Oryctolagus cuniculus: one gene and its partners. The protein of the gene in region 7 interacts with the protein of the main gene of each other region in a pairwise test. Links are inferred from orthologs where the notes say so. Each region holds a gene or a part of one and is shown on either strand. Other genes may lie near its edges. The genes, in order: NAB2, SAXO1, KCTD13, TNFAIP1, ENOX1, LZTS2 and ZMYND19.

Region 1 (4,265 bases), on a different chromosome or scaffold from region 7:
TCACGCCCTGCTCCGCCCCCCACCCTCGGGCGGGCGTCTCCCTGCGGAGAGCAGGGCTCAGCGCCGCCCCGAGGGCGCCGGGTGGGAGGGAGGGGGGCGCGGGGAGCAGAGGCTGCGTGGGCGGAGGATGTGCGTCACGGGGAGCGTGGGCAGGGGGAGGGAGGGGGCACGTGGAAACCCGGGGCCAGCGACTGGCAGCCCAGGCTCCAAAATAACCCGACGGGGGTGGGGGAGGGGCGCCCACCCGCCGCTGAGCGGGGTCGGACAGTGCCCCCCGGCGGGAGCCGGTCTGGCCGCGCCCTCCCGCTGAGGGACTGGACGAGGGGGACTCCGCTGCTTCCCGCCGCCCCCACCGCGTCTGGAGCTTCCTGGGATGGAGAAGACAATCTGAACTACTGAAATCCCGCCACCAACAAGGCCACCCCTCCTTCCCTGCCCCCACCAGAGACAGCAAGGTCCCCTGGCCAGGCCGGAATGTAGAACCAGCCCCGGCCCACGCCACCCACCCCCCGGCTTGGCCACTCAGAAGCGCGGAATGGCGGGGCGGGGCTGAGGCTTCGCACCAGGAGTACCCTCGCCTTCGGCCAGTCTGCTCGCTTCCCGCCGCCCCCACCTCAGTTCCCCTGGGCTTAGAGCCGCTGGGCCAGGCCCTCGGAGCCCCCGCCTGCACACCTCCCCCCCTCCCCACCACCCTCCGAGCCGTGGGCGGGAGAGAAATGGGAACCAGATGGGCTAGGAGAAACCCAGGGGGAGGTGGGCTGCGGAGGGGGCTCGGCCCCGGGGAAGGCGCCCCTCCGGCCGCAGCCAGACACTTCGGGAGCACCCGGTCTCTGCTCGCCGCCCGGACTCATAGGTGTCCCAGAACGGTATCCTTATCCTACCTGGGACACACAGCGGCCGAGGAGCAGGGCCCCGTCCTGGTGCAATGGGCGGCGGCGAGCAGAGGAAAGCGGGGCGCACCCTCCCCCCCCCCCCCGCCGCCGCCGCCCCTGCTGGCCGGACTAACCAACCTGGCGCGGCAGAGCCGCGCACGCCGAATTGGTGGCTTCTAGCATGGCCCGCCCATCCCTGTTTAAAACTTCAGCAACGACCCGAGGCCGGCAGAGATGGAGGCGGCCCGGGTCTCCGAGAGCGGCCCCTTCCAATCTTTTCGTTTGAGGGCAGGGGAAGGGCTGGGATACCCAAGGGATCCTATAGCGCAAGACTGCTGGAGGAGAGGCACGCGCTGGAGGAGCCGCGCGCCCTGAGCCCTTCGCCAACTTTCGCCGGCTGGCTCTCCGCATCCGCACGTACGGCAGCGCGAGGCCTGCGTGCGGGTAGCGGGCGTCCGCGCGGTTGTTGAGGCGCGTGTGCAGTCCTTGCGCTTCCCCGTGTCTTTGTGTACCTGTGCGTGGTTGTGCAACTCCTCTCTCCTCTCGGAGAGGTAGGGGTGGCGGGGGGGTGGGGGGGAGTAGGAATGTCGCCGGCGGGGCGCTCACGTGGGTACGTGGGTGCGGAGAGGGCCGGCTGTGCATCCGGCGTGGGCGGCATGGAGCGACCTCGCCCCGCCCGCCGGGCCCCCAAGCCCGCCCTCCGCAGCCCGGCCTCGGTCACCTCGGTCCCCAACTCGGCTCCCCGGCTCCGAGTTCCCGCCCCCGCCTCCCGCTCCACACCCCCTCCCCCCCAGTCTCCGCCTTTCTCTGTCTCTCCGCCGCGGCGTCTCGGAGACCGAGAGGCCCGGGCGCCCGCCCCCCGCCCCCGGCCCCAGCCCCCGGCTCTGCCCACGCCCTCCGCCCGCCAGCCCGGCAGCCAGCGCAGCGCGGGGCCTCGCTCCCCGTGCGTCCTGCGGGGGTGGAGGCGCTGAGAGGCGGCGAGAGCAGCCGGGGAGGGGGGGTAGAGGCACAGACTGAGGCGCGGAGGCTCGGAGAGAGAGGACGTGGAGGGAGGGACGGAGCCTGGACAGCGGTGGACACGGCATCGCGCGCAGGGAAGAGCGCAGCGCGCAGCAGGCGCCGAGCGCCGGGCATCCGGAGGGGCAGCCTGGGTGGTCTCCGGCCGTCCATGCACAGAGCGCCCTCCCCCACAGCTGAGCAGCCGCCGGGCGGAGGGGACAGCGCCCGCCGGACCCCGCAGCCCAGACTCAAGTTAGTGGGCAGAGGGAGACAGCGGGGAGTGGAGATGGGTGGAGCTGGACTGGGAGTGGGGTCCGGAGGGCGGAGGTCGCGGCGAGGACGTGGGGAACCGGGACGGGGGTGGGAGGTGGAGACTGATGAAAAAAGGGGGTGCGTCTTCGAATGAAGGGACCCTGGGAGCAGCCGAGGATCCGCTGCAACTTGATGTGAAAGAGCGGCACCTGATTCTCCATTCCCAGTTTATTCGGTGGGCCTGAACTGGCGTGTGAGCCCCCTGTAAAGACTGTGGGAGTCCGCAAGTGCCAGGAGAAGCCCAAGGACTGGAGTTGGCAACAGTACCCGGTGGGGCGCATTCAGCCGGCTCAGTCTGCAGCTGGCGCCGAGCGCTGCCCCCCCCCCGGGGGGGGTCCCGCACACGTCGGCGCCTTTCAGTTACGGGAATAGCAGCAAAGCCCTGAGCAGCCAGGGGGTGCCTTCGGCGTCCTTTGCCCCTGCTGCCCCTTCGTTCACAGCGTGAAGAGGGGCGTCTGGGTGTGCAGCCGCTCCCCCACTCCACTTGAAAGTGTGGGTGGAAATTAAGGGAGGCGAGAGTAGGCGGGAGCCCCTAGGCGGGGTTCGCCCACAGACGCTACCGCTGTGGGAGTGTGTGTGGGCGGATTGGCCCCAGAGCAGAACAATCGAGCTCCCCTCCCCTCCCCCACCGTCTGAGCTGAAGGGACAGAGGGGAGTGAGTGGGGAAGGTCACTGCTTGGAGAGGGGCCAGCGGGGCGCGAGGGGAGGTTACTGGGCAGCATGGGAGGGCGGAGGGGGCGGGGTGGAGAGCTAAGGTGCATCAGGAGTGCCTGATCCCTGGGCTAGCTGAGGGGCACAGGAGCAGGGGTCAGCCTGGCTCCTAGTGGGAAGACCAGGGAAGGGGACACACCCCTCCCTCCCAGCCACCCTGGTAGAATGCCCCCAAGGGAGTGCAGGTGGCTCGCAGTGGTCCCCAGTGTCCACTGTGGGAAGGATGAGTGGGACATTCCCCTTAGTGTGTGATGTCACTTGTGTTGAGGTGTTTAGGGTGGAAGGTGAGGGCCAAGTGTTTTGGGGGAGAGAGGGAGGGCCAGCCATCCCAGGGGTGTGCCTAAGGTCTTCTTACCCCTGCCAGAAAGGGCAAAGCTGAGGATGGGGTGGGGGTGGGGGCGGTGAGCCTTTGACTCCCGCCAACAAGGCCCTGGCTTTGGGTGCTTCTGGCTAGTGTGGGATGTAGTGGCATGTCAATGCCTCCGAGTAGTGCCCAAGTCTCAGAGTCTGTGCTCAGTGCTGGGCGCTGCTGGGCAGAGGGAGAGAAGAAACCGACGGAGAGAGAGAACAATTGTTAGTGTGGGTTGGTACCCAGCCGGGGGCCTTGCACTCACTGTTTCTCTCACGCCCCTCCTTCTCAGGCCCAGTGCCCGAGCCATGGCACTGCCTCGGACGCTGGGGGAGCTGCAGCTGTACCGGGTCCTGCAGCGGGCCAATCTCCTCTCCTACTATGAGACGTTCATCCAGCAGGGAGGGGACGACGTGCAGCAGCTGTGTGAGGCCGGCGAGGAGGAGTTCCTGGAGATCATGGCACTTGTGGGCATGGCCACCAAGCCCCTCCACGTGCGGCGCCTGCAGAAGGCACTGAGAGAGTGGGCCACCAATCCAGGGCTCTTCAGCCAGCCGGTGCCTGCCGTGCCTGTCTCCAGCATCCCGCTCTTCAAGATCTCCGAGACTGCGGGTACCCGGAAGGGCAGCATGAGCAATGGACACAGCAGCCCAGGAGAGAAGGCGGGCGGTGCCCGCAGTTTCAGCCCCAAGAGCCCCCTTGAACTTGGAGAGAAGCTGTCGCCACTGCCGGGGGGTCCTGGAACGGGGGACCCCCGGATCTGGCCGGGCCGGAGCACTCCAGAATCAGACGTTGGGGCGGGAGGGGAAGAAGAGGCTGGCTCACCTCCCTTCTCCCCACCTGCAGGGGGAGGAGTCCCTGAGGGGACTGGGGCCGTGGGTCTGGCAGCGGGTGGGACTGGGGGGAGTCCAGACCGCCTAGAGCCAGAGATGGTGCGCATGGTGGTGGAGAGCGTGGAGAGGATCTTCCGGAGCTTCCCCAGGGGGGACACCGGGGAGGTCACGTCGCTGCTGAAGCTGAAT
Region 2 (3,500 bases), about 56 Mb from region 7:
CTTTATATACAGAAGATTGATTTAGTATTTATTAAGTAAAGATTTCATCAGTTTGCACCCATACAGAAACACAAAGTGTAAAATACTGTTTCAGTACTAGTTATAGCATTACTTCACATTGGACAACACATTAAGGACAGATCCCACATGAGCAGTAAGTACACAGTGACTCCTGTTGTTGACTTAACAATTTGACACTCTTGTTTATGGCATCAGTAATCTCCTTAGGCTCTAGTCATGAGTTGCCAAGGCTATGGAAGCCTTTTGGGTTCGCCGACTTCAATCTTTTTCCGACAGGGTCATAGTCAAAGTGGAAGTTCTCTCCTCCCTTCAGAGAAAGGTACCTCCTTCTTTGATGGCCCCGTTCTTTCCACTGGGATCTCACTTGCAGAGATCTTTCATTTAGGTCTCTCTCTCTCTCTCTTTTTTTTTTTTTTTTTTTTTTTTTTTTTTTTTTTTTTCGCCAGAGTGTCTTGGCTTTCCATTAGGGCACAATTTTGGAAGCCAACATTTCATAGAGGTTAAAGGGTGTGTGGTTTCCACAAGTATAGACAATTTAATTGGCTTGGGGCTGGGGAATGGAAGATCCTTGACCCCTTGAGGCTGATAGTCTGACCAGTGAGATAAATGTTAAGCAAAACAAATTATTCAATGATGATGACAGGGGATAGTCCTTCCAGGATCGATAAGGTGCTCTAACGGTGCTCTAAGCACCTGAACTGGCTTGAGGGGAGATCCTGGAAGGCCTCTGCCGATGTGATGTTTTGGCTGCTAGCTAAAGGACAAGTGACACACAGAAAGCAGGAGAGATCTATGCAGAAGGAATCCCAACGCTAAAAATCCTGAAGCAGAAAAGATATGGAGGAAGGGAACTGAATGGAGGCCCTAAGGCTGGAGCAGAGGAGCTCGGGATGGAGAATCCAGAACCTACAAGGCTTTAGAAGTTAGTAAGGATTGGGATTTGATCCTAAATACTACAATGCTTATTTGAGGAGTTTCAAGCACAGAAGATTAGTTGATAAGATTGTAGATATGCTCAAGTGTATGTCAAGGAGTACACTTCAAGAAGGCAAGACTAGGACTTGGCCAGCGGGAAACAACAAAAGTATGGAAGGTAGAGGGAGTTTAGGGCATTAGTGACAGATGAGCTGCAATGATCTAACATGGAATAGGCTACATGGAAAGAACAGGCACAGGAGAGAAGGTTGGGCACCAACAGATTAGGGGATACAACAAGGCCAAGAACTGTTGTGATGGAAGCAGATCAGAGACTAAGTCAGAGGGACCGGATGTTGGGGTACACAAAGTCTTCAGAGGTGGGATAATTTCAGGGTAGAATGTCCAGAGGGTTGTCTTTCAGAAGGTGGCTATGGATGACTAGGAGAGGAGCACACTAGGGTAAGAAAGTAAAAGGCCAGAGTGGAGATTGCCATAGAGGTCTATACTAGTAACAGCCCTGAATCTCCAATATGAGCAGGGCCCACCAGAATGGTAGGCTCAGAACTCCTCCAAGCAAAATTTCCCACATGTCTCCAGCCTTCGCCACCTCTGCTGCCAGCCTACCTCATTAGTAAATGCTTAACTAAACATAACCCTTATGATAGAGGTCCACCAAGATCATTCAGAGGTACACCGATGTTTCACATAAATTAACTGTTGAAACTTGTCTTCCTAGAGCAACAGTGTGCATCATAAACAGAGGCATTACAGATGACAAGCTTGGCCTCCATTCTCTGATCTCCATCTTGGGGCCAGGCTCTCAGGGGTATCTGCTGTTATACTGGTAGCCCAACCATAGGACTCCACTGCCCTTCTCTCCCACTGGACTAGAGGGCCTAGGACAGTTCACAGTTCCTAGGCACATGCCTGGTATGTAATAGATAATCAACGAAAAATAATTATGCAATTTTTTTAAATTTTCAAAAACAGATTTTGAATGTTTCATGACAAAGCAATAACAAATATTTGAGGAGGTAAATGTGGGCCATGATTTGAACAAAATATAACATACACATGTATGAAAATAACACATTATAACACATAAATAAGTATAATGATGTCAAAAGTAAAACTATGTCAATTCACTTAAAATATGTTACAAAACTGGCAAAATTATTTTGAAGTATTAAAAATCAGCATTATGGTTATATTCCAGTTGAGAAAGGTGGCTGAAAGGGAGTAGTGATGCTATTTTCTTGATCTGGGTGCTATTTATAAGGGTGTATTCAGCCAAAATTCATTGGCCTGTACCACTATGATTTATATACATTCCTGTATATTACATTTCAATATTGTTCTAAGTGAATGCGTGAATCAGTCATTGAATCAGTAGAATCTAGCTCACCTAAAACTTGAAGTACTTCCCCAATGCATATGATTCAAACAGTGAACTAAGGCAGGGGTCAGAAAATATTTTCTGTAAAAGGCTAGATACTAAGTACCTATAGCCTTACAGACCATAGGGTCTTTGTCAAACTACTCAGTTTTGCCAGCGATAACATGCACTGTATTCCAATAAAATGTACTTGTAAACACTGAACTTTGAATTCCATGTAATTTTCACATGTCTTAAAGTAATATATATTTTTTGGCAAACATTTGAAAATTTTAAAACCATGCTTAGCTCTCGACCCATATAAAAGCAATCTGTTGGCTGGATTTGGCTTTCATGAAGGAGTTTGCTGACCCCTGCACCAAGAGAACATACAAAACATACTTCCTGATCTGTCTACAATTCAGCCTATCCTTTCCCCAGCCCACTTCTCAAGCGTTCTCCCACCTTTATAAGTAGGCAGACACTCCATCTTGTCACCACACGGGTATTTATTATCCCGAGGTTTAATGGGGTCCACTCGACAGACAGGGTAGGGGTTGTAATCTTGTTTGTATGTTGTGAGCAAATCCATATTCTCTTCACTGGGGATGAACTGTTCGGGCTGGTGGACCTTCACTGGTACCACTTTGTGAGGCCCAAAGTCTCTTCTGGAAGGAAAACAAATACATATTGTTGGAGTCCTTGGCTTGGAATGAGGCTTGTGTTTTCCATCCCAACCCAATCCTAAAACATTTGCTGAGAAGTCAACATCTTCTCTGCCCCCACTCACTGCTTTTCCTCGTCTACCTCCCACTTTCTAGAATGGTACCACTATTCCCTTCTCACCAAATCAGACTCTTGGATGTCATCCTGGAAACCCTCTCTCACAGTCCAGAGTCTGTCACTCATTCACCAGGTGTGGCCTCCTCCACCTCATGAGTTGTTCTGTCCCCTTTAGTTTAGGCCCTAGATCATGTGACAGCCTACTGTGCAAGCTCCCTGCTTTCTCTCCCACCATTTCTACTTCAACCACCATAGTATGGCCAAACTGTCTAAATGAAAACGGGATCATTTTGTTCCCCAGCTTACAAATATCCCAGATAACACTCGATCTCCTAGAATGATTTGTAAACTCTCCTGGACCTGGCCTCTACCTTACTGCCCACCCTCATCTCCCACCACCCTA
Region 3 (3,010 bases), on a different chromosome or scaffold from region 7:
CAGTCAACGCATGCAAAGGGTTAGAGAGAGGCCTCACACTTCCTGCCCACGCGCCCCCTCCCGTGTGTGGTGAGTGCTGCTCTCCGTCCGTCCCCCCATGCCCTAGGCTCCCCCGAAGATGGGCCTCGAGTGGTCTTCATCGTGGACCTCTGGCACCCCAATGTGGCTGGGGCCGAGCGCCAGGCCCTGGACTATGTGTTCGCACCAGACCCCTGAGTGCTGTCTTCCCCTGCGGACATCTGAGCTGGAGACGCCGCACTGAGGGCCAGCCAGAGCGATGGCCAGCGTGGGACCGGGGGGCTGGGGGAGGGCGGAGGCTGAGGGAGGTGGCGTGGGCACCGAAATAGACCTTCTGGATCCTCTCCGGTGTGCCGACTACTTCCTTCCCGGCTACAGGGCTCAGGGCAGGGGCCCGTCCTCCCCTGCAGAACCAGTCAGGTGTCTCCTTAACACAGGCCGCCTCCCTGTGCCTCTGCTGGGAGCCAGCACCACACCGCTACTCAACTGTATTCCAATAATTTAATAGAAAATTTAAATAATAAATAATACGAAACAGATCGAGAAGATGGCTGAGCTGGCCCAGGCCCAAGCCAGCCTAGTCCACAGTTACGGGGCAGGGGGGACGGCAGGGGAAGGAGGGGGTGGGGGCTCCCGGGGTGGTGGCCGTCGCCAAGGTCTGTCTTGACACTTGAGCGTGGGCTACATGCTAAAAAAACACAAAGGGGATTCGGAATCGTTCAAAACCAGCCGCCAGGCAAAGACGGCAGGGCGAGGCCGGGAACGGTGGGATGGGTGACAGCCCTCAGTGCGGGAGGGCTCTGCTGAGGGGACGGGGCGCCCCGTGGTGTCAGCAGTGCATGGGAACGGGTGGAGAAGGGCCACGGTGACCTGAACATGCGGTGAAGGGGAGACCCACGACTTGGCCAGCAGAGTCGGGGCAAAGGTCTGGGAAGGGGAGGGAAAAAGGGAGGGGCTGGGGTGGGGAGGCAGGAAGGCGGGGCAGGGTCAAAGGTCAGTCCTTGAACACAATCTGCTGGCCGTGAGGACGCTCGTCGTGGGTGATGTGGCGCCGCACGTGGATCCTGCGGACGCGGTGCTCCCGGTTCTCTTCGTCCTCCCCTCGGCCTGCCCGACCTCCTCCAGCCGCACCTCCTGTGGCTTCCAGGAGGGCAGGGTCTGGGCCTCGGGGAGTCTCGTAGATCAGAATGTTCAGGGTCTCTTCAAAGATCCGGGCCTCTGGGAATTCCACCTGTGCAAGGTCACAACCCGCCATGGTCCAGCAGCACAGAGCCAGCCCCCAGCCCTGGCGGCTCCTGCACTGGCCTGGATGTCTCTGCACCTTCTTCATTTTTTTAAGATTTACTTATTTATTTGTAAGGCCGAGTTACAGAGAGAGAAGGAGAGAGAGAGAGAGAGCAAGCGAGCAAGCTTCCACTCGCCAGTTCTCTCCCCAGCCAGCTGCAATGGCTGGGCTGGGCCAGCTGGAAGCCAGGAGCTTCGACTCGGCCTCCCACGTGGGTGCAGGGGCCCAAGGACTTGGGTCGTCGTCCACTGCATCTCTCAGGCTGGTAGCAGGGAGCTGGATGGGAAGTGGAGCAGCCGGGGCTCCAGCTGGCGCTCACATAGGATGCCTGTGTCGCAGGTGGCGGCTTTCCCCACTACGTCCCAGCGCTGGCCCCTGTGACGTCTTTACTCAGCAAAGTCCTGCTTCAAGGCCCAGCTCTGCAGCCAGGCAGAGTGACTGTTTCCGCTCCTCCGCGGCCTTGTCTCCTCATGTGGCAAATACTCACCCAAGGACCGCGCTGTCCCGGGGCCCCCTCTGCACCCTGGGGACAAAGCCCCTGCCCACAGGGAGTTTACGTTCTAGTGGGGAGACTCACACATATGAGGGTCTTCAAAAAGTCCGTGGAAAATACATGTAATGAAAGACACCACATGCACTTCAAAATGCTTTGGCACCAAAATAAACTTATCTCGTAATCCCACTTCTCCACAAACTTTCTGAGGTAGCCTCGTACACTTACGAAAACGTAAACTGAGTCGGATGATGACAGACGCTGGGAGAGGAGGCAGGTGAGGCTGGCCACAGCCAGGAGGCTCACCATGTCAGGCAGTTCAGGAAGGCCTCCCTGAGGTGCCGTCCACCTGGGTGGACAGCCAGAGGAGGTGGTCTGTCTGGGGAGGGGCAAATGTGAAAGCTCTGGGTCAGGAGCGAGGGTCAGCCAGGCCAGTGCCACTGGGATGGAGGCAGAGCAGAAAGGATGAAGCCAAGAGGATGCCTGGCCTTGGAAGGCGGGAACCACCACAGCTCTTAATCAAGATGCACTCTCATGACTGGTTAATCTTCCAGCCCCGCCCAGCCTCTGTTGTAGTGGGCATGTCCTAATCAAGATGCACTCTTACGATTGGTTTATCTTCTGGCCTGGCCCAGCCTGTTATAGTGGGCATTTGGGGAATAAACTAGTGGATGGCAGCTCTCTGCCTCTCCAATTTATATATTTATATATAATTCTTGGCCGGCACTGCGGCTCACTAGGCTAATCCTCTGCCTTGCAGCGCTGGCACACCGGGTTCTAGTCCCAGTTGGGGCGCCGGATTCTGTCCCGGTTGCCCCTCTTCCAGACCAGCTCTCTGCTGTGGCCAGGGAGTGCAGTGGAGGATGGCCCAAGTACTTGGGCCCTGCACCCCATGGGAGACCAGGATAAGTACCTGGCTCCTGCCATCAGATCAGCGCGGTGCGCCGGCTGCAGCGTGCTGGCCACGGCAGCCATTGGAGGGTGAACCAACGGCAAAAGGAAGACCTTTCTGTCTCTCTCTCTCACTGTCCACTCTGCCTGTCAAAAAAATAAAATAAAATAAAATATATATTTACGTATAATTCTTTTTTTTTTTTTAAAGAAAGTTCATGAGGGAAAGTGTCACAAAGAAAGTGCTGGTCATCTTGGGCCTAAAAATGAAATACGTGTCCTTTAGGCACAGGGATGAGGAAGAAGAGGCCAGCAGTGTGGCA
Region 4 (3,958 bases), on a different chromosome or scaffold from region 7:
GCACCCGTGTGGGAGACCTGGAAGAAGCTCCTGGCTCCGGATCGGCGCAGCTCCGGCCGTTGCAGTCATCTGGGGAGTGAACCAGCAGATGGAAGACCCCTCTCTCTGTTTGTAACTCTACCTCTCAAATAAATCTTAAAAATAAATAAAAAACCACTCTGCCTCAGAAGACCAGGAAGGCGAGCACACCTACTGTGTTCATCACTGCAACCCTAGCACCCAGCACGGTGCCTGCACAGTCGGCACTCCGTGGACATCTGTGGGATGACCAGTGGCTGTGCAAGCAGCCGGAGGCCACTACAGCAGCCCAGCACCTGGAGGCCGGCGTTCTGGGTTGAGATGTTTCTGTAAGTCGATTTGCTAGGACTTAGAGGGGCTTGACTGGAGGAGGGGATGAGTGAAGCGGTCGGGCATGAATCCCTTGCACCTGGGAGGGGTAGCTGAATGAGTCACCTGAGACGGGAGAAGGGTTGAAGGAGAGGCTTCCCAGCTGCCCATCAGATTCCATCCCAATTCCCACTACACGCGGCGGAGCGCCGGGGTGAGGGCGGAAACGCCTCACCACGATCCATGCTTGGCATCAGGCACAGGCCCCGTTCCTGGGGTTGGAGGAAGCACGAGGCTGAGTCCGGAGGGCCTGACACTGTCTTTACTGCGCAAACCCGTTGGATTTACACGAGTCCCCGCTTCCTAAGACCACGCTCAAGCTCCAGGCCCAACCTGAGTGTGAAACGCTCGCGAAGGGACGGGCGGAATTCCTAAGTTTCTTTCAGCCTGGAACAGCCTTTCCTCAACAGCGGGTCTGTCCAGTTCCTCTAGACCCAGCTGCCCCCGACCCGAGGTCACGACCTACCTGCCCACCCGTAGCGGTGGTGCGCTGCGGCCCAGGCTGATGTTGACAGGCAGCTCCTCTCGGCGGTGGGCAGCAGTCAGTGCCTGGCCGGCTCGCCTCTCCTCAGCCGCTGCCACGGCTACAAAACCTGTTTATCCACAACGTCACTTCCGGACACCGGAAGCACTCACACCCGTTCATCCTACAGGGCCTGCTGGGAAACAGAGGCCCGAAGGGAAGGATGACTGCCTACAAGATCCAGAGGCCTTTGCGCCTGCAGGGCTACCGGAAGTGGCTATGCTCTTGCCCGGAAGATCCTCCGGGAATTTCCGCCTCCCCTCCCTGTTAGAGTGCTGTGCATGCCGGGCTTTGTAGTCTCAGGCTTATGGCCCGCTGCTCCGGGAGGAGTCGACCGGCGCAGGATGTGAGCTCACAGCTCGGGATTGCTGGCGGGCAGGCAGCCACAGGTCAGAGACGGCACGGAGTTCGCTCGCCCCCCAGCTGAGAGGAGAGGAGCCCCCGGCGACGGTGAGAGTCGGGCCTCGGCTGGAGCAAAGACTGCCCGCCGGGTCCTGGGAAGCAGGGGTGGGACGGCGCAGCGGAGATGCAGAGCTGGTCTCGGTTCCTTGGTAGTGAGGGGGGCGGGCTGGGCAAGAGCCTACGCTGGCCACGGGAGAGGCTGGCCGTGGCCGAATTTCTCCAGGACCTTGCAGCCTAAGCCTCACACCTAGGATTTCTGCTGGGTCCACCCTCTATAGCCAAGATCAGCTCACGGCTTCCCCAACACCCACCCGCCCCCGGCCCCCCGTGCGTGACGGGTTTCTAGATCCTTCTTCCTTTGGGATCCAACCGCGGTCCACCGCTTTGGTTGTCTGCCTTTTGTTCGCAGAGTGGGAAATGGATCCGCCCCTAGCCCCAGGCATCCCCAAATACCCACAAAGTCCGGAAGGAAGAGTATTGAGTGGAAACTTCATTGTCGCTGGAATTACTTTCTGGGGCGGCACCTGCCGCAGGATTCCTGGAACTCATTGGTCTGAATGGAATCTGAGCTGACGTCAGCCAGGAACAGTTGCTTTGCAGGAAAGGAATAGATTAGCTGTGGATTTGTCTTCCTCTCCTGGCAAACCGCAGGCTTTCAGTACCTTTGCTTTGGGAGAAAATGCATGTGTTTTCTTTGACCTTGTTAAAAACTTTTCCTGGGTGGACTGATTGGTTTGGAGTCGGTGGGAGGTTAGGTCATCCGCTGTCCCAGTGGAGGTCTCGGCAGACTCCTGTTGAGGGCTTTTCTCATCCACACCGCATGCCTGCACAGTTCATCACTTCACAGGACACCCACTCTGGCCCTTTTGGGACATTCTTCCCAGGGACCTGCCTAAATCTTTTCAGGGACAATTTCAATCTGACGAACTGCCATGGACTTCAAAAGGTTCGTGGGAAGTCAAATTAAGAAAAATTTATTTTGGTGGAGAAAACATCTTGAAATCCATGTATAAAAGTGCAGGCCAGTGTGCAGAAAGACCGCGTGCGGAGTGGAGCGGCACAACTGGGGACACCAGTGCCATTTGTGGGCTGCACTTGGCGAGGCACACCGTCAGCTCCCGCGTGTGAGCATGGAGGGAGAGGATTCTGCCTTTTCTCTGCCTCTGTTCCCCCTGTGCTCCAAGTCTTCACCACTTTATGCCTGCACTACTGCTTCCTCTGGTCCTCCCACGGCCTCTGCACCCTTACAATCCATTCTCTACACCGCACCCAGAAGTATGGTTGCGATTATCTCACTCACCTGCTTAGAACCCTCCAGTGGATTCCTGCACTGCACTGCACTTGAAATAAAGCCCCAGCTCTTGGGCACCAGCTAGTACCCGCCTGCCTGCCTGCCACGGAACCAGAGTCAGTGCCAACTCCTATTTTCCTTTTTAAGTTCGTTAACATGAGGATGCTTAATTGAACTCCTTGAAAGCAAAGACTGTATTTTTCATTGTTCCCTACTGTTTCACAGGGTTGGCAGTCAGTAGTTTCACTGCTAAATGAATTAAATAATATACATTAAATGCCTAGAATAGTGCGTGGCACATGAAAACGCGCCTTAAGAGTCAGCTATGACATTCTCTTTAGATGAATTTTAGCGCTTCTCTAGGAAGCCAGAAGCATAATGTGGACTTGCAGTCGCGAGGGTGACTGGGTGGCTCCCTCCGCTCCTCCCGCCTGAGAGCTCCTGTTAGTGCTTTAATTTATACATCATGGCTGGCACCGCAGCTCACTAGGCTAATCCTCCACCTAGCGGCGCCGGCATACCGGGTTCTAGTCCCGGTCGGGGTGCCGGATTCTTTCCCGGTTGCCCCTCTTCCAGGCCAGCTCTCTGCTGTGGCCCGGGAGGGCAGTGGAGGATGGCCCAGGTGCTTGGGCCCTGCACCCCATGGGAGACCAGGAGAAGCACCTGGCTCCTGCCTTTGGATCAGCGCGGTGCACCGGCCGCAGCGCACCAGCCGTGGCGGCCATTGGAGGGTGAACCAACAGCAAAGGAAGACCTTTCTCTTTGTCTCTCTCACTATCCACTCTGTCAAAAAAAAAAAAAAAAAAAGAATTTATACATCATTTAATTGCTTTCAGATCTGTCATCTGATGTTCTGGTTCTGCCTCCTCATTCTTGGTGGAAAGCTTGAGAGGACGAGATAGGGCTGGGCTCCCACTTAGGAAAAAGAAGTGAAAATAGACGTCCTGTATTTGTTCTGCCCTGGCCAGTGGTGACAATTTCAGGAACTTGGAGCATTGCCAAGAAAAGGGACGGTCAGGAAATCCAAGTGGAACCTAGGTGACACTGCCGAAGACCCTGGCTAGGTCCCCCAGTCTGACTCACTCCATTGTCTCCTGAAGCTGCTTTTACTTTCCTTTCAAAACTCCAGGTGACGCTAAAGCAAGCACGGGCCCAGGACGCTCCTGCACCTGGTATCTCTAGAAAGGAAGTCCACCCTGTCCCTGTGGCTCCTGGGAAAGTCCTAGTTTGGCTGATGCCCAGCAGGTTTGGCTGGAAGTCTGGGTTCCTAGTTACCCTAAGAGAATAAATGGAATTCTGACTGGTAGATGCCCAGCAGGGGCTGTTCCTCAGGCCTAGGGCTGGCTTGTCTTCTT
Region 5 (3,500 bases), on a different chromosome or scaffold from region 7:
CAGCGGGTCTCACCCCATCTGTCATTGTTGTTGGTCCTGATGGCCTCCACCAGCTTAGCCCGAGCCCCTTTGTTCTCCGAGTTCACCTGCATGAAGGCAACAAGGGTTCAGGTCTTCCTGTGGACCAGGCACACCAGCCCGGCCTTTCCCTTGATGGTACAGTGAGCGAGGGACCCCCCCCCCCCCATCTTCCGACACAGAGCGGGCGAGAGGGCAACCAACTCAGTGGGATCCGCATCGTGTGCAGTCACCACCAGCTGAGCCTTCTTATTCTCCACCAAGGTAGTGACAGTGCTGACACCCGCCCGGAGGACACGTGGGCTCTGGGTCCACTTTGACAGCAGCTTTCTTCTCAGCATGGGCCAGTGGCCTCTGCTTCCTCTCTCGCTTTGTCCCTGGTCTATACTTGTGGGCCAGCTTCAGCAGCTGGGTAGTCATCTGGCAGTGCATTGCCTGGGTGAACTGATTAATGGCAGGAGGCACCTGCAGGCACTGCAGCCAGATATAAATAGTGGGGCCATTTGACAAAACGGGTGAGGCCCCTCTTGGGCTGGATGTCCGGTCCAGCGGGAAAGTTCTCAGGCCTCTTCTCAAAGAGGATTTATCACCTCATCGGCCTCCTGCTTCTTCGTGACAGCAGGGCCCACGGCTGCCTTCTTTCCCTGGGCCTTCAAGCCTTTCAGTATCTTGGGCGGCTGGAGAAGAGAGAAAGGAAAGGGAATACGGCCGTATCTTTTTTATTTCATTGTGTTTGCGATATACCTAATAGTGAGATTGCTGGATCATATGGTAGTTCTGTTATTAATTTTTCAGAAACCCTTCATATTGCTTTTGCACAGTGGCTGCTGCACTAATTTATATTTCTACCAACAGTCTAGAAGGGTTGCCTCTACTCCACATCTTCACCAACACTTTTTATCTTTTTGGTACTAGAGGTCTTTTTTAAAGAAATAATAAATAAAGTCTTATATATTACCTTTGAAATTACTTGCTTCATTATAATATTTTAAAAAAACAGTATTTCTGCTGGAAAACCAATGCTTTCTACCCTCTTCCCAGTGCTGAATTTTTTAAATAAAAGGCATAAAAATTTCAGGAGGGTAGGCTAATTATTTGTTGATTGAATTATGGGAAGGAAATGTAATTATCCAAAAGAATTAAGAAATGTATATAGCTAATTTTATGCCTGCACATATCTAAGCCATAGTAATTATAATCGCTCTTTGTTTTTTGTTTTTTTTTTCATCCCCTGGGGGAAGTAGGTTAGGTAGGACCTGAATGCATGATTATAAAGTGTGCACATATAAATTAAACTTTGGCAAATGTAGGTCACTTGGGTAAGAAGACTCTTTTGATAAAACCAGGTTGACAATTAGATTCACAGGGCACTTCAATGTTAAATGCTGTTCTTCCCACATTCTGGGTCATAAGGCAGTGTAAACAACACACAAAGTGAAGAAGCAGAAGACTGCATTCACGGTAATAGGGAAGCTTCATGGTGCATGGTTTTACACTTTAATACATTGTGTTCTGTTCTGCCATGTTAATATTTTAAGTAATATAATTTCCTTTTCGTGTAGGTTTAGGTCCGTCCCTCCCTCCCTCCCTCTCTGTCTCTCTCTCTCTCTCTCTCTCCCCTTCTGAATTAATTTTCTGTAATGCTCTACCTTATGCCAGGAGCAATTCCTGAAAAACAGGAAATATCAAGTCAAGTAATTTTTTGCAGCAACAACAACAACAAAAAAACGGATTTAAGGTTCCCCAGCCAAAAATGTTAACTTGTGTGCTTTGCAGACTCAATCTGTGTCCCAGGCTTTGATCCAAGCCTCAACATGATGACTGGAATCACCCCCATCAACCCAATGATACCAGGACTGGGGCTGGTACCACCTCCTCCACCAACAGAGGTGGCTGTTGTCAAAGAAATCATCCATTGCAAGAGTTGTACTCTATTCCCTCAAAATCCAAGTAAGTATAACTCTCCTGAGAAAGGCTGGCTCAGAATTTTAGCTTCTTTTCTTTTTAAAAACAATTTTAAATAGTGTTGCATTCATTTTCAGATGTGGCTCACCCTTAGCTGTACAGAGTGAGGGTCCCTCTCTGTATAGCCCATCTCTGTTCTCTAGCTGAGAACACAGGTATGGGGACCTGTGCATATGTCTCCCTAGGAGCTGAATAATCCACACCAGGAAGCCAGCGCTTGGGATTTGGGGATACACAGCCAACGTTGAGAATATATTTACCAATAATGATGGCCAGCATTTGCTCGAGAATATAGTGTGAAATATATAAGCCATTCCACCCATCTTCACAAATGTAGGACACAAATTCTGAAATGTGTTTTTACTGGATAGAAAATTGAATTAATTTGGCAGTTGGCAATTTGGAGGCTGGGGCAACCTGCATCTCAGAGTTTCTGGACCAAATTGCCTTTGCTTGAAGGACACATATATTTGATGAAGTCCATGGGACAGAACTTTTTTTTTTTAATTTTTAGTCTCAGATAACTCAGTGTATGGGCTTACGTAGCTAGGAGGCTTTTTTTTTTATTGCTATTAATCAAGGGTCGCCTCTTTCAAGTGGACTTTTCAGGAGATTGCTTTAGTAATCTACATATAAACCAGGTGAAATGTTGTGACAATGTACAGTTTTATCTTTTTATGCAGCCACCCCCAAATTTAATAGTGCGTGCATTTAAATGTGAATAACGACAAAGTGTTTTTTCAGGCACAGTGTTTTCCCAGCCAAGTAAGTATTGTGCTTCTTCCCTGGGTTGCGCCTCCGCCTCCTGTGTTCTGCCTTGCAGCTCCTTTATCTGGCACCAAGACAAAGCCAAGAACGAGCTGAGGTTTTTCATCAGGTTGTCATTTCATCACGTTTTGTACTTGGTGGAAGTTTTCTCTCCTCCCCATCCCCCACCATTTCCTGGGCTTCTGTGTTAGGAAAGGGGCAATGAAATTGTGCGCCCATTTGCTCTCGTCTTTGTTCACAGACAAGCATAGGCGTGGAAATGCCCACAACTAGAGGTTGGGAGGAGAGGGAAGTCAAACGGAAAAGCCAGCCAGCCTGGGATATGAGGGAAGTTGGGGCAGCTGCCCCTGCGAGCGCGACTTTCGCCAGGTGAACCAAGGAAGGAGAGGCAACGCATGCCGCACAAAACCATCTGTTCTGTTGTGATTGCCAGATCTGCCCCCTCCGTCCACGAGGGAACGGCCTCCCGGCTGCAAGACGGTGTTTGTGGGAGGATTACCCGAAAACGCGACGGAGGAAATCATCCAGGAAGTCTTCGAGCAGTGCGGTGACATCACAGCGATTCGGAAGAGCAAGAAGAACTTCTGTCACATCCGCTTCGCAGAGGAATTCATGGTGGACAAAGCCATTTACCTCTCTGGTACTTTGCATTTCATCAGGGGTTTCTCTGGCATCTCCTTACTTGTGATGTTACTATGAATATGAGCTCATTCCCTTTTTGCCTTAGGGCACAATAAGGTCCTCCTAGT
Region 6 (3,933 bases), on a different chromosome or scaffold from region 7:
GGGGGGGATGCTCCTTCCTGGGGCAGAGCCCAGCTCTGGCTGGCCTTGGCCCTGCGGGGGAGGGCTGCCGTCTGGGCGAGGGAGGCCGTCCTCGCCAAGGCCAGCGGGCATCAGCTGACCTGGCCAGGTCACAGAGACCCCTAAGGAAAGGTCTGTGTGATAGAGTGCATGCAAAACACGGTGTGCAGTATGAGAAGCTGTTTGTGAGTACTGCGAGGCTGTCAGCATGTGAAAGATGCTGGGAGGTGCGAGGGCCTGCGAGTTGTTGTGAAAGACTTAATGCACAACCGGTGTGACGCGGGGCTGCGCGGGAGCTGGCCTGGGAGTGCATGGAAGGAGGCCTGGGGGACCACGTGACGGATGAAGCTCTGCGATTGCGGCTGCCCGAGACTGAATGTGGGAAAGGTCGTGTGGGTGTTAAGATGTTGTTTCCAAGAGGGTGAGCATATGCGTGACCCTGAGGAGACCGTGGAATGTTGTCTGGTGGGAAGCTGGTGTAGGCTTGGGCTGTGCCTTTCCACTGGGGAGGCCAGAAGCCGCCCTTCCCCGGGCAATGACCCTTCTCTTAGCCAGCGACTCCAAGGGAAAGTTGGGGAGTCCAGAGCCGCGCCAAGGGCAGGCCTGGGCTGGCGTCCACGGGCACGGGCTGTGGAGTGGGAGAAGACCCCCCTGGGTCGGGGGGCGAGTAGATGTGCTCTGAGAACCGACCGCCAGGTGGCGCCGCCTCCGCAGATCCTCGTGTACCGCCTCCAGCCCGCTGTGGGGTGGGCCAGGCAGGGACCTGGCCGCGGCCCCCGACTAGTGCTGGGGCGCAGGGCCCCGGCAGCCGAGGAGCGGCGGGCAGCTGACCCTCGGCTTCCCGCTCTGGACTCTGAAGCTGGAGAGTGTCTGGGGCGGGCTTCGATTAGAGAAGCGAGGGGGAGGGGCCGCCGCGCCGCGCCTTGGCCCTTTGTGCTCGAACAATGACCAGCTGCCGCTGGCCCCGGGGCCCGGCTCTGGTAGGGGGTGACCCGCCCGCCGAATCCACAGCCGACCGAGCCGTCCGACACGCAGTCACCGAGACTCGGCGGGAGGGGTCCCGCTCGCCGCCGCGCAGCCCCTGCGTGCGCCCCAGCAGACACGCGTGACGTGGGGTGCCTGCGCGTGTCCGCGCCCCGGGGCGGGGACGCCCCTCGGACCCCTCCCCCGCGCCGCCCCGCGCCGCGCCGCCCACTCGGGCCGGGAGGGGACTGGCCCGGGCCGGGTGCGCCGCCGAGGCGGAGGCGGGGCCCGGCCGGGTCGGGCCGCTCCGAGTGGCCGCGCGCGGGCCGGAGCCGGGCGGCGCGCCTGTGGAGCGCTTGGGGCGGCCCGGGGCTGAGCATGGAGCAGCGCGGCGGAGGTGAGGGGGAGGCCGGGGCCGGGAGGAGACCCGGGGTCGCCCCCAACTTCTGTGCGGCGGCGTCGGGAGGGGAGGCGGCGTTCGGCGGCCGCCGTGCTGGTGGGGGGGGGGGGTCGTCGGCTGAGTGGGGGTGGGCGGGGGGAGGGGTCCCGGCTTCCTGCCTCGGAATGGGAACTCGGATCCCAGACTTGAGCCTGCGTGACTGTTCTTGGAGTTGAGGTGGGAGGGCGACTTTCCCGAACTCCTCAGCCCCCAAAACAGGTCTGCGCGAGCTCGGAGCGCGGCCAGAGCCGTCGCTGGCCCTGGCTGAGCCCCAGCCCTCAGCCCTCCGTCCTGCCCACCGCGGCGATTACTCGGGAGAGCGAGGGGTTCCCTTTGCCCACAGCCACGGCGCATTTCTCAAAATGGAGCCTCGGCTTGCCCCTCCTTCTCAGTCGGGCTCTGAGAGCGGGAGTCCTACTGGCTGGGCCTGGCTGGCCGGCTTTCGTCGCTCTGGGTCTGGGGGGCCTTGGCCTCTTGCGGTTCCGGGGCCTGGCGCCATGGGCCGGCCTGCCTGGCTTCCTTGGCCGCCTGACCCCCGCGCCTCCCTGAGCCTTTGTCTCGGCCTTTGGCTCTTTCTCCGAGTGGGCCCATCGCCTTCCTTCAGTTTTCACTTTTCTCTGTGCTCCCTGAAGAGGAGAAATGCGGACAGAAATGCCAGCCCGCATGGCCCCCTTAGCAGCCCCTTCCCCCGTCCTGTCCGTGCCTTACGTGGCCCTGCAGAGGGAGGAGGAGGCTCCCGGGTGCCCGCGTTGCCCAGGGCTGGAGCTTGGGGTGCTGTCAGGCCCCAGCCCTGCAGCCAGGCCCACCATTGCTCCCAGCAGCTCCTCCGGCAGTCTGGACTGACACCGACCTGGTTCTTGGTGTCTTTTCACTTGGGTAGAGAGGAAAGGGATGAACTCGATGGAACACAAGCAAGAAAGAAGGGGAACAGCTCGGACAAAGGTGGTTCCCCCTCTCCCCACACTCCAGAGTGAAAACTGGCGGGTTCCCTCGCACTCCCCGGTGCCCGACATGCCTGCCCTCAGAGCCTTCTCTGTGGGTAACCCGGCTCTGGCCGGCCTGCTGTGCACACACAGGAGTTCGCGGGGGGGAACCCATGTCCTGGGTTCCTCTTCAGCATCTCAGCACACTCACCTGTTACCTGTGCATTTACTACTCCTGCGTACTTGCATGGTGACCCTTAATTACACACGCATACGTGTGAGGTTCACACGTTAGTTCACACCTAGACGGGTGTATGTATTGAACATGTCCAAACACACACTCATGTTTTCACACGCATTATTCCTGGCACGCAGTGCTCACTCTGCTGCCCCTGGGCATAAAGGCGGCCATGAAGACCTGTACACGCACACATTCCTACTCCCAGGAAGTTTTCTGTCCGCCTCCTTGGCCTGCACGTTCTGCATGATGATTTCGGCAGATGCCAGAGCCCTGGTGCTCTGCGGCCTCGGGACCGGAGGGAGTTCCCCAGGGAGGCTTGCTCTCCCCTTCCAGGAAGGAGCAGAGCCCGGGGAGGTGGTGAGGTCTTGGAGCAGCTGCCAGAAGTGATGGTGGGGCTTCCGCCTCCATCGGGGTTTCTCTGGAGATGGCGGAAGCTGGAAGCTTCTGATAGAGGTTGGAGTCGGGCAGCGCCCATGAAGGCTCCTTTAGGCCCCATGTCACACCCTGACTGGGTATGGAGAGGGTAGGGGTTGTCATAGAAACAAGCAAGTGCCTGCATCACCTCCAGGAGGCAGGTGTGTGTGCCCTGAGAGCTGTGGACTGCCTGTTTGGCCAGCTCCACCCTTGCCGCCTCTCTGTCTGGGAGAAACTGAGGCCCAATAGGGGGAGGTGGGGCGCTGCTTGGCCTTGGCTCTTTGTTCCCTAATTATTGTCTGAGTTGCTGGTGGTGTCCTTGAGGTTGTCGCTGCCCAAACTGCCCTGTAACGAGGCCACCTGTCCCAGGAGACTGGGGACCTGGGCCAGGTGCTGGGAGAGAGGGCTTCTTGCCTAACCTGAGTCCTGGTCTCCGTGGGGCTGCAGGTCTGGGTCTGGGCCTCCACTGCCAGGTGGCCCTGTGCAGGCTTCCGATCCCTTCATCTCTGCCTGGTGGCCCTGTGCAGACCAGGGAGCAGTGGTCTGGGGCCCAGAGAGAAATGAGATTCGTGCCAGTACTTGGAAGAGGAGCCTTGGGGGGGGGGGGGGGTCAGGGCGTTGTTACTCATGTCAGGAAGGCGTTTGGCCTGGATCAGGGGACAGCACAGGGACTCAAGGCCTTGTATAGGGAGAGGGTATAGGATGCTGGGATTCTTTTTGTTTTGTTTTGTTTTGACAGGCAGAGTGGACAGTGAGAGAGAGACAGAGAGAAAGGTCTTCCCTTGCCGTTGGTTTACCCTCCAATGGCCACCACGGCCGGCGCACTGCGCCTATCCGAAGGCAGGAGCCAGGTGCTTCTCCTGGTCTCCCATGGGGTGCAGGGCCCAAGCACTTGGGCCATCCTCCACTGCACTCCCAGGCCACAGCAGAGAGCT
Region 7 (3,975 bases):
CGATACCCCGAACCAGACCCAGACAGCCTACAAACAGTTCCTCAGCGAGAGGTCCCAGACACCAGCATCCCATCATGCACACCGAGGCGGCAGTTAACTTCCCCAGTGAGCTGCCCCTTCACACCCCGCCGAGGCGCCCCAGGAGAGCCGGGGCAGAGCGCAGGACCCCCCCCCCCCCCCCCCGCAGAGCCTGTCCTGGGGCGTGAGGCGCTTTGTCTGTGGACGGAGTGCTGGGCAAAGCGGAAGGCAGTCGTCCACATTCCTGTACCACAGGAGGCACCAGGCACAGACAACGGGCCACTGACTCGGGGAAGGTGAGGGTCACACAGGGCCGAGGGGGAGACCAGCACAGCGCGAGAACACCCACCACAGCAGCTCGTGAAGGAGCCTGCCCGATCCCCTGCCTCGGTTCTTGTCAAAGGCGTATGCGAATATCTTAGCACCATTTCCGTCTGCATCTACTTCCATGCGGGCCTGAAAAGAACAAGGAAAGGATTGGTAAAATCCTCCAATTTCCAGATCCCTCTTAGAATAATCGAATGAAACAAAAAAGCCGGAAGACAGGGCCCAGCCCGTTTCTGGGACCTGGGTGTCTGTGGATGCAGAGGCCAGCTATGCCCCCTCAACCACTCCACCTTTCACTCACACAAGAAACGCTCACACTAGCGGCCGGCACTGTGCGTGGCAAGTTCAACCACCACCTGTGGGGCCAGTATCCCATAGAAGCGCAGATTCTAGTCCTGGCTGGTCTACTTCTGATCCAGCTCCCTGCTAATGGCCTGGGGAAGTAGCAGAAGATGGCCCAAGTGCTTGGGTCCCTGCACCCACGTGGGAGACCCACAAGAAGCTCCTGGCTTCAGCCTGGCCCAGAGGATGGAGGATCTGTCTCTGTCTCTCCCTTTCTAATGCTGCCTTTCAAATAAATTTTAAATAACCTTAAAAAAAACCCTCACTCATAAGCAATTATTTGTGAAGTTCTATGGGCGCAGAGACAATTTCCCACCAATAAAAACCCCCCACGATCCCGTGAGAAAGGGACACCCTGGAGAAGGAGCTCCTGCAGAACTGTGGGGCCCTGTGGCCAGAGCACCAGGGACCACTCGCAGAGGTCGGAGGCAAGTTCCTTACAGAGCACCTGGGACCGTGGAGAGGACTGGGTAAGCTGCACTAGGGACACCTGTCAGCAACAGGACAAAAGTTGATTTAACAGCAGCCAGCGACCAGGGAGGGTGCAGGTCGGCCAAGGCCAGCGTCAGAAAGGCCACGGAGACTCCACCGGCTGGCACCAGACATCCACGTGCCGGGCCTCTTGGACCCAAGCACCTGCACTCCGCTCGGCCCTCCCGGGAACACCCCATCTGCGCCCTTACCTCGAAGGAGTAGCTCTCCACCAGTGGGATGTCTTGCTCATCTATCAGCGTGTACTTGGTCTGCAAATCAACCACATTACAGAGCGTTACACTTGGGGTCTGCGCCTCATTACAGCCAGGGGGCCTGGCTCTGCAGCACTGCGTGTGCGGCAGACACAGCAAAGCCACAGGAGGAGGCACCTGGCTTCAAAGGCCTCCCACACAAGACCGCCCCCGATAAAGCTGGCCAGACCTAGTGGGCTGCCCTGGAGCAGGGGCAGAGTACACACCAGGTTTCAATTTGTCTGTTAAGCTGGGCAAGGGGTGCACAGGTGCTCGCCCAATCACCCTTTTCCAGTTCAGTCTGCCTGGAATGTTCCGGATGAAAGATTTGGGGACGTTAATGCAGCCTGGAGAGGGCCAGAGCTCCAGGGGAGAGCCCGGGACACCCCCAACAACACCAGCCTCACTCCTGCGAGATCTCTCCTAGGATCGGAGCTGTTTTACCTTCACTTGAATGCAGACTGCCTCTCAGTCCCTGGATATAGGGACCAGGCTTCCATCAGGGTAAGGCCCAGGCTGCTGCAAGGCGGAAACAGCCAAGCCTCCAGGCCCACTGGTGCCAGAGGCCTCGCCTGCAGCCTGTGGAGGGCGGAGGCCGGGCTAGGGGAGAGAAGTCGAGGGAGCCCTCGAGTTCACCAACACCGGGGTTCCGGCTTCCTTGTCCTGCGCTGGGGAAGCCCACGCTCAGTGCAAGCTCAGAGGCCCCCATCAGACCCCCTAGCAAGAAGGACTGAGGTGGCGCTGCCCTGGAAGGGGCGCCGTGTTCAAACCGCGCGGCCGCAGGTGCAGCCCTGGCGCCGGGCTGGGCCCAGTTCGGAAGCCCCACATGGGAGAGCGCCAGACGAACGCGGCCCGGGCACGGGCGCGCATCTCCGGCCCTGGTCCTAGACCGGGCCCCGGCGAAGGCGGCAAGGGGCGCGCCCCACCGACTTCAAGAGGCGGCCTGCACCGGAGCGAGGCCCCGCAGCCGGGCCCGCGCAGCGCCCCCGCCCCGCCGGCGCCCCTCCGGGGCCGGCGCCCCCGCCCTGGCCGCAGCCCGCACAACCGCCCCCGCCCCGGGCCCCGCGCAGAGGCCAGGGCGGGCGGGCCGGGCCCAGCCGCGGGCTCCGCGCCGCTCACCTTCCCGGCCACCCGGCCGAGCCGCACGATGCCCAATTTGAAGTCGGTCATGGCCGGGCCTGCGCTCTCGGCCGGCAGCGCCGCTCCCTCGGGAGACACCGGGCCGAGGCGAGGCCACGGCGCGCCCGGGCGGGCCGGGGTCGGGGCCGGGGCCGGGCGGGCTCCGGGCGGGACGAGGCTGGGCCGGGCTCGGGCCGCCGCCGCCGTCGCCGCCACCTCGCGCCCGCCGGACCTGCCACGCGCCGCCGCCGCCGCCGTCGCCGCCGCGCGCACCACCGCGAGCCGAGCCGAGGGGCGGGGCGCGGCGCGGGACACACCCCCCGGCCCGCCGCTGCCCAGCCAATCGCGAGGCGCGCCGTGCGCCGGCTGGCGCGCGCCGCCGCGCAGCGACCAATGGGGGAGAGGAGAGTGCGCCGGCGCGCTGGGGAGCGGGGCGAGCGCGGGGGAGGGGTGCGGCCGGGGGCGGCGCCTGCGCGGCGGGCCCGGCTCCGACGTCAGTTTCGCGGGAAGCTTTGTGCGGGCAGCTACGCCTCGCCCGGGCGGTCCCCGCTGTGTGGCGTCCACGTGGGTCCGCTTCGCCGTCGTCTCCCCCGGCCGGGCGACCTGCTGCGAGCCTCTGAGGAACCAGCCTGAGGAGGCCTCCGCGCCCAGCCCCCCGGAGCCCGAAGGTGCCGGCCACCCGGGCCTGGACCGCCCCGCGGCCCCGCGGGGAGGCCCGGGTCGCGGCTCCCGGACTCAGATGGGGCGCGGCCCCAGTGGTGAGGGGCGGCTGGAACGGCGCGGCCGGGGCCGCCCGCGGCGTGTCCTCCGGAAAGCCTCGGCCTCTCGGGGCGGGGTCGAGCTGGGCGGCCACGGCGGCGCGTGTCCGGCTGAGGAGCCGGCGGGGACCCCGGGCATTGAGGGGTCTGCAGAGGCCACCCCGCGGAGCCCCCTTTCCCGTGTGCCGGGCTCTGCTTTGCAGGCTGTTTTCTCAGAAAACCTCGTGACATCTGGGTCCCTGTGCCTCAACCTGCCAGGGGCGAGAGGCTGGGAGGCAGGGCCACCAGTCCAGCCTTGCAGGGGGGCAATGTGGGGATCTCTGCCCGCATCGTCTATGTGTGGCTCTGCCGGACCAGGCGCTGCAGGCGGCCCGGTGGCGCGGGGTGTGCGTGGGTCGCCCGTCCTTTCCGCCCAGGTGCGCAGTCAGCATCCAGGGAGGGCGAAGGGTCGTTCCTCCGCCCCAGCCCGGCAGCGGCCCCGGGGAGGGTCTCCCTGTGTGCCAAGCCGCCGCCTCTGCATGGCCTGGGGAGTTACCTGCGAGAGTGAGCCTTCCTAGGAAGCCGCCACAGATACAGTGGCATGAGACAGTGCAGCTCTTGGTGAGGTGTGGTGAACTTGGGTGGTTTCTTTTCTCCAAGTCTCAAGAGCAGTCGAGGATGGGGGGGAGTCATCACGGTGCTGGCAA

The links.
Region 1: the proteins of ZMYND19 (region 7) and NAB2 interact in binary tests that used the Homo sapiens proteins (3 or more experiments, as listed by UniProt). The two-hybrid records come from large-scale screens. The link is inferred for Oryctolagus cuniculus from reciprocal best matches to the Homo sapiens genes ZMYND19 and NAB2.
Region 2: the proteins of ZMYND19 (region 7) and SAXO1 interact in binary tests that used the Homo sapiens proteins (3 or more experiments, as listed by UniProt). The two-hybrid records come from large-scale screens. The link is inferred for Oryctolagus cuniculus from reciprocal best matches to the Homo sapiens genes ZMYND19 and SAXO1.
Region 3: the proteins of ZMYND19 (region 7) and KCTD13 interact in binary tests that used the Homo sapiens proteins (3 or more experiments, as listed by UniProt). The two-hybrid records come from large-scale screens. The link is inferred for Oryctolagus cuniculus from reciprocal best matches to the Homo sapiens genes ZMYND19 and KCTD13.
Region 4: the proteins of ZMYND19 (region 7) and TNFAIP1 interact in binary tests that used the Homo sapiens proteins (3 or more experiments, as listed by UniProt). The two-hybrid records come from large-scale screens. The link is inferred for Oryctolagus cuniculus from reciprocal best matches to the Homo sapiens genes ZMYND19 and TNFAIP1.
Region 5: the proteins of ZMYND19 (region 7) and ENOX1 interact in binary tests that used the Homo sapiens proteins (3 or more experiments, as listed by UniProt). The two-hybrid records come from large-scale screens. The link is inferred for Oryctolagus cuniculus from reciprocal best matches to the Homo sapiens genes ZMYND19 and ENOX1.
Region 6: the proteins of ZMYND19 (region 7) and LZTS2 interact in binary tests that used the Homo sapiens proteins (3 or more experiments, as listed by UniProt). The two-hybrid records come from large-scale screens. The link is inferred for Oryctolagus cuniculus from reciprocal best matches to the Homo sapiens genes ZMYND19 and LZTS2.

Annotation. Positions count from the first base shown.
Region 1 is NC_091442.1:59,719,386-59,723,650, forward strand, and holds the start of NAB2 (NGFI-A-binding protein 2), read left to right. Parts: upstream 1-1,465; 5' UTR 1,466-2,040; coding exon 2,041-2,123; intron 2,124-3,535; coding exon 3,536-4,265. UniProt on the Homo sapiens protein: Acts as a transcriptional repressor for zinc finger transcription factors EGR1 and EGR2. Isoform 2 lacks repression ability.
Region 2 is NC_091432.1:181,871,670-181,875,169, forward strand, and holds part of SAXO1 (stabilizer of axonemal microtubules 1), read right to left. Parts: intron 2,983-3,500; coding exon 2,780-2,982; intron 1-2,779. UniProt on the Homo sapiens protein: May play a role in the regulation of cilium length. Stabilizes microtubules at low temperature.
Region 3 is NC_091450.1:7,313,463-7,316,472, forward strand, and holds the end of KCTD13 (BTB/POZ domain-containing adapter for CUL3-mediated RhoA degradation protein 1), read right to left. Parts: intron 1,250-3,010; coding exon 1,013-1,249; 3' UTR 501-1,012; downstream 1-500. Other genes in the region: ASPHD1 (aspartate beta-hydroxylase domain-containing protein 1), read left to right, coding at 107-216. UniProt on the Homo sapiens protein: Substrate-specific adapter of a BCR (BTB-CUL3-RBX1) E3 ubiquitin-protein ligase complex required for synaptic transmission.
Region 4 is NC_091448.1:43,886,713-43,890,670, forward strand, and holds the start of TNFAIP1 (BTB/POZ domain-containing adapter for CUL3-mediated RhoA degradation protein 2), read left to right. Parts: upstream 1-1,158; 5' UTR 1,159-1,360; intron 1,361-3,958. UniProt on the Homo sapiens protein: Substrate-specific adapter of a BCR (BTB-CUL3-RBX1) E3 ubiquitin-protein ligase complex involved in regulation of cytoskeleton structure.
Region 5 is NC_091440.1:62,510,837-62,514,336, reverse strand, and holds part of ENOX1 (ecto-NOX disulfide-thiol exchanger 1), read left to right. Parts: exon of another isoform or gene 1-695; intron 696-1,449; exon of another isoform or gene 1,450-1,497; intron 1,498-1,794; coding exon 1,795-1,968; intron 1,969-3,184; coding exon 3,185-3,391; intron 3,392-3,500. UniProt on the Homo sapiens protein: Probably acts as a terminal oxidase of plasma electron transport from cytosolic NAD(P)H via hydroquinones to acceptors at the cell surface.
Region 6 is NC_091446.1:28,872,964-28,876,896, reverse strand, and holds the start of LZTS2 (leucine zipper putative tumor suppressor 2), read left to right. Parts: upstream 1-1,133; 5' UTR 1,134-1,378; intron 1,379-1,516; exon of another isoform or gene 1,517-2,241; 5' UTR 2,242-2,311; coding exon 2,312-2,362; intron 2,363-3,933. UniProt on the Homo sapiens protein: Negative regulator of katanin-mediated microtubule severing and release from the centrosome. Required for central spindle formation and the completion of cytokinesis.
Region 7 is NC_091432.1:237,722,169-237,726,143, forward strand, and holds the start of ZMYND19 (zinc finger MYND domain-containing protein 19), read right to left. Parts: upstream 2,801-3,975; 5' UTR 2,583-2,800; coding exon 2,532-2,582; intron 2,205-2,531; exon of another isoform or gene 1,857-2,204; intron 1,431-1,856; coding exon 1,371-1,430; intron 475-1,370; coding exon 368-474; intron 1-367. UniProt on the Homo sapiens protein: May be involved as a regulatory molecule in GPR24/MCH-R1 signaling.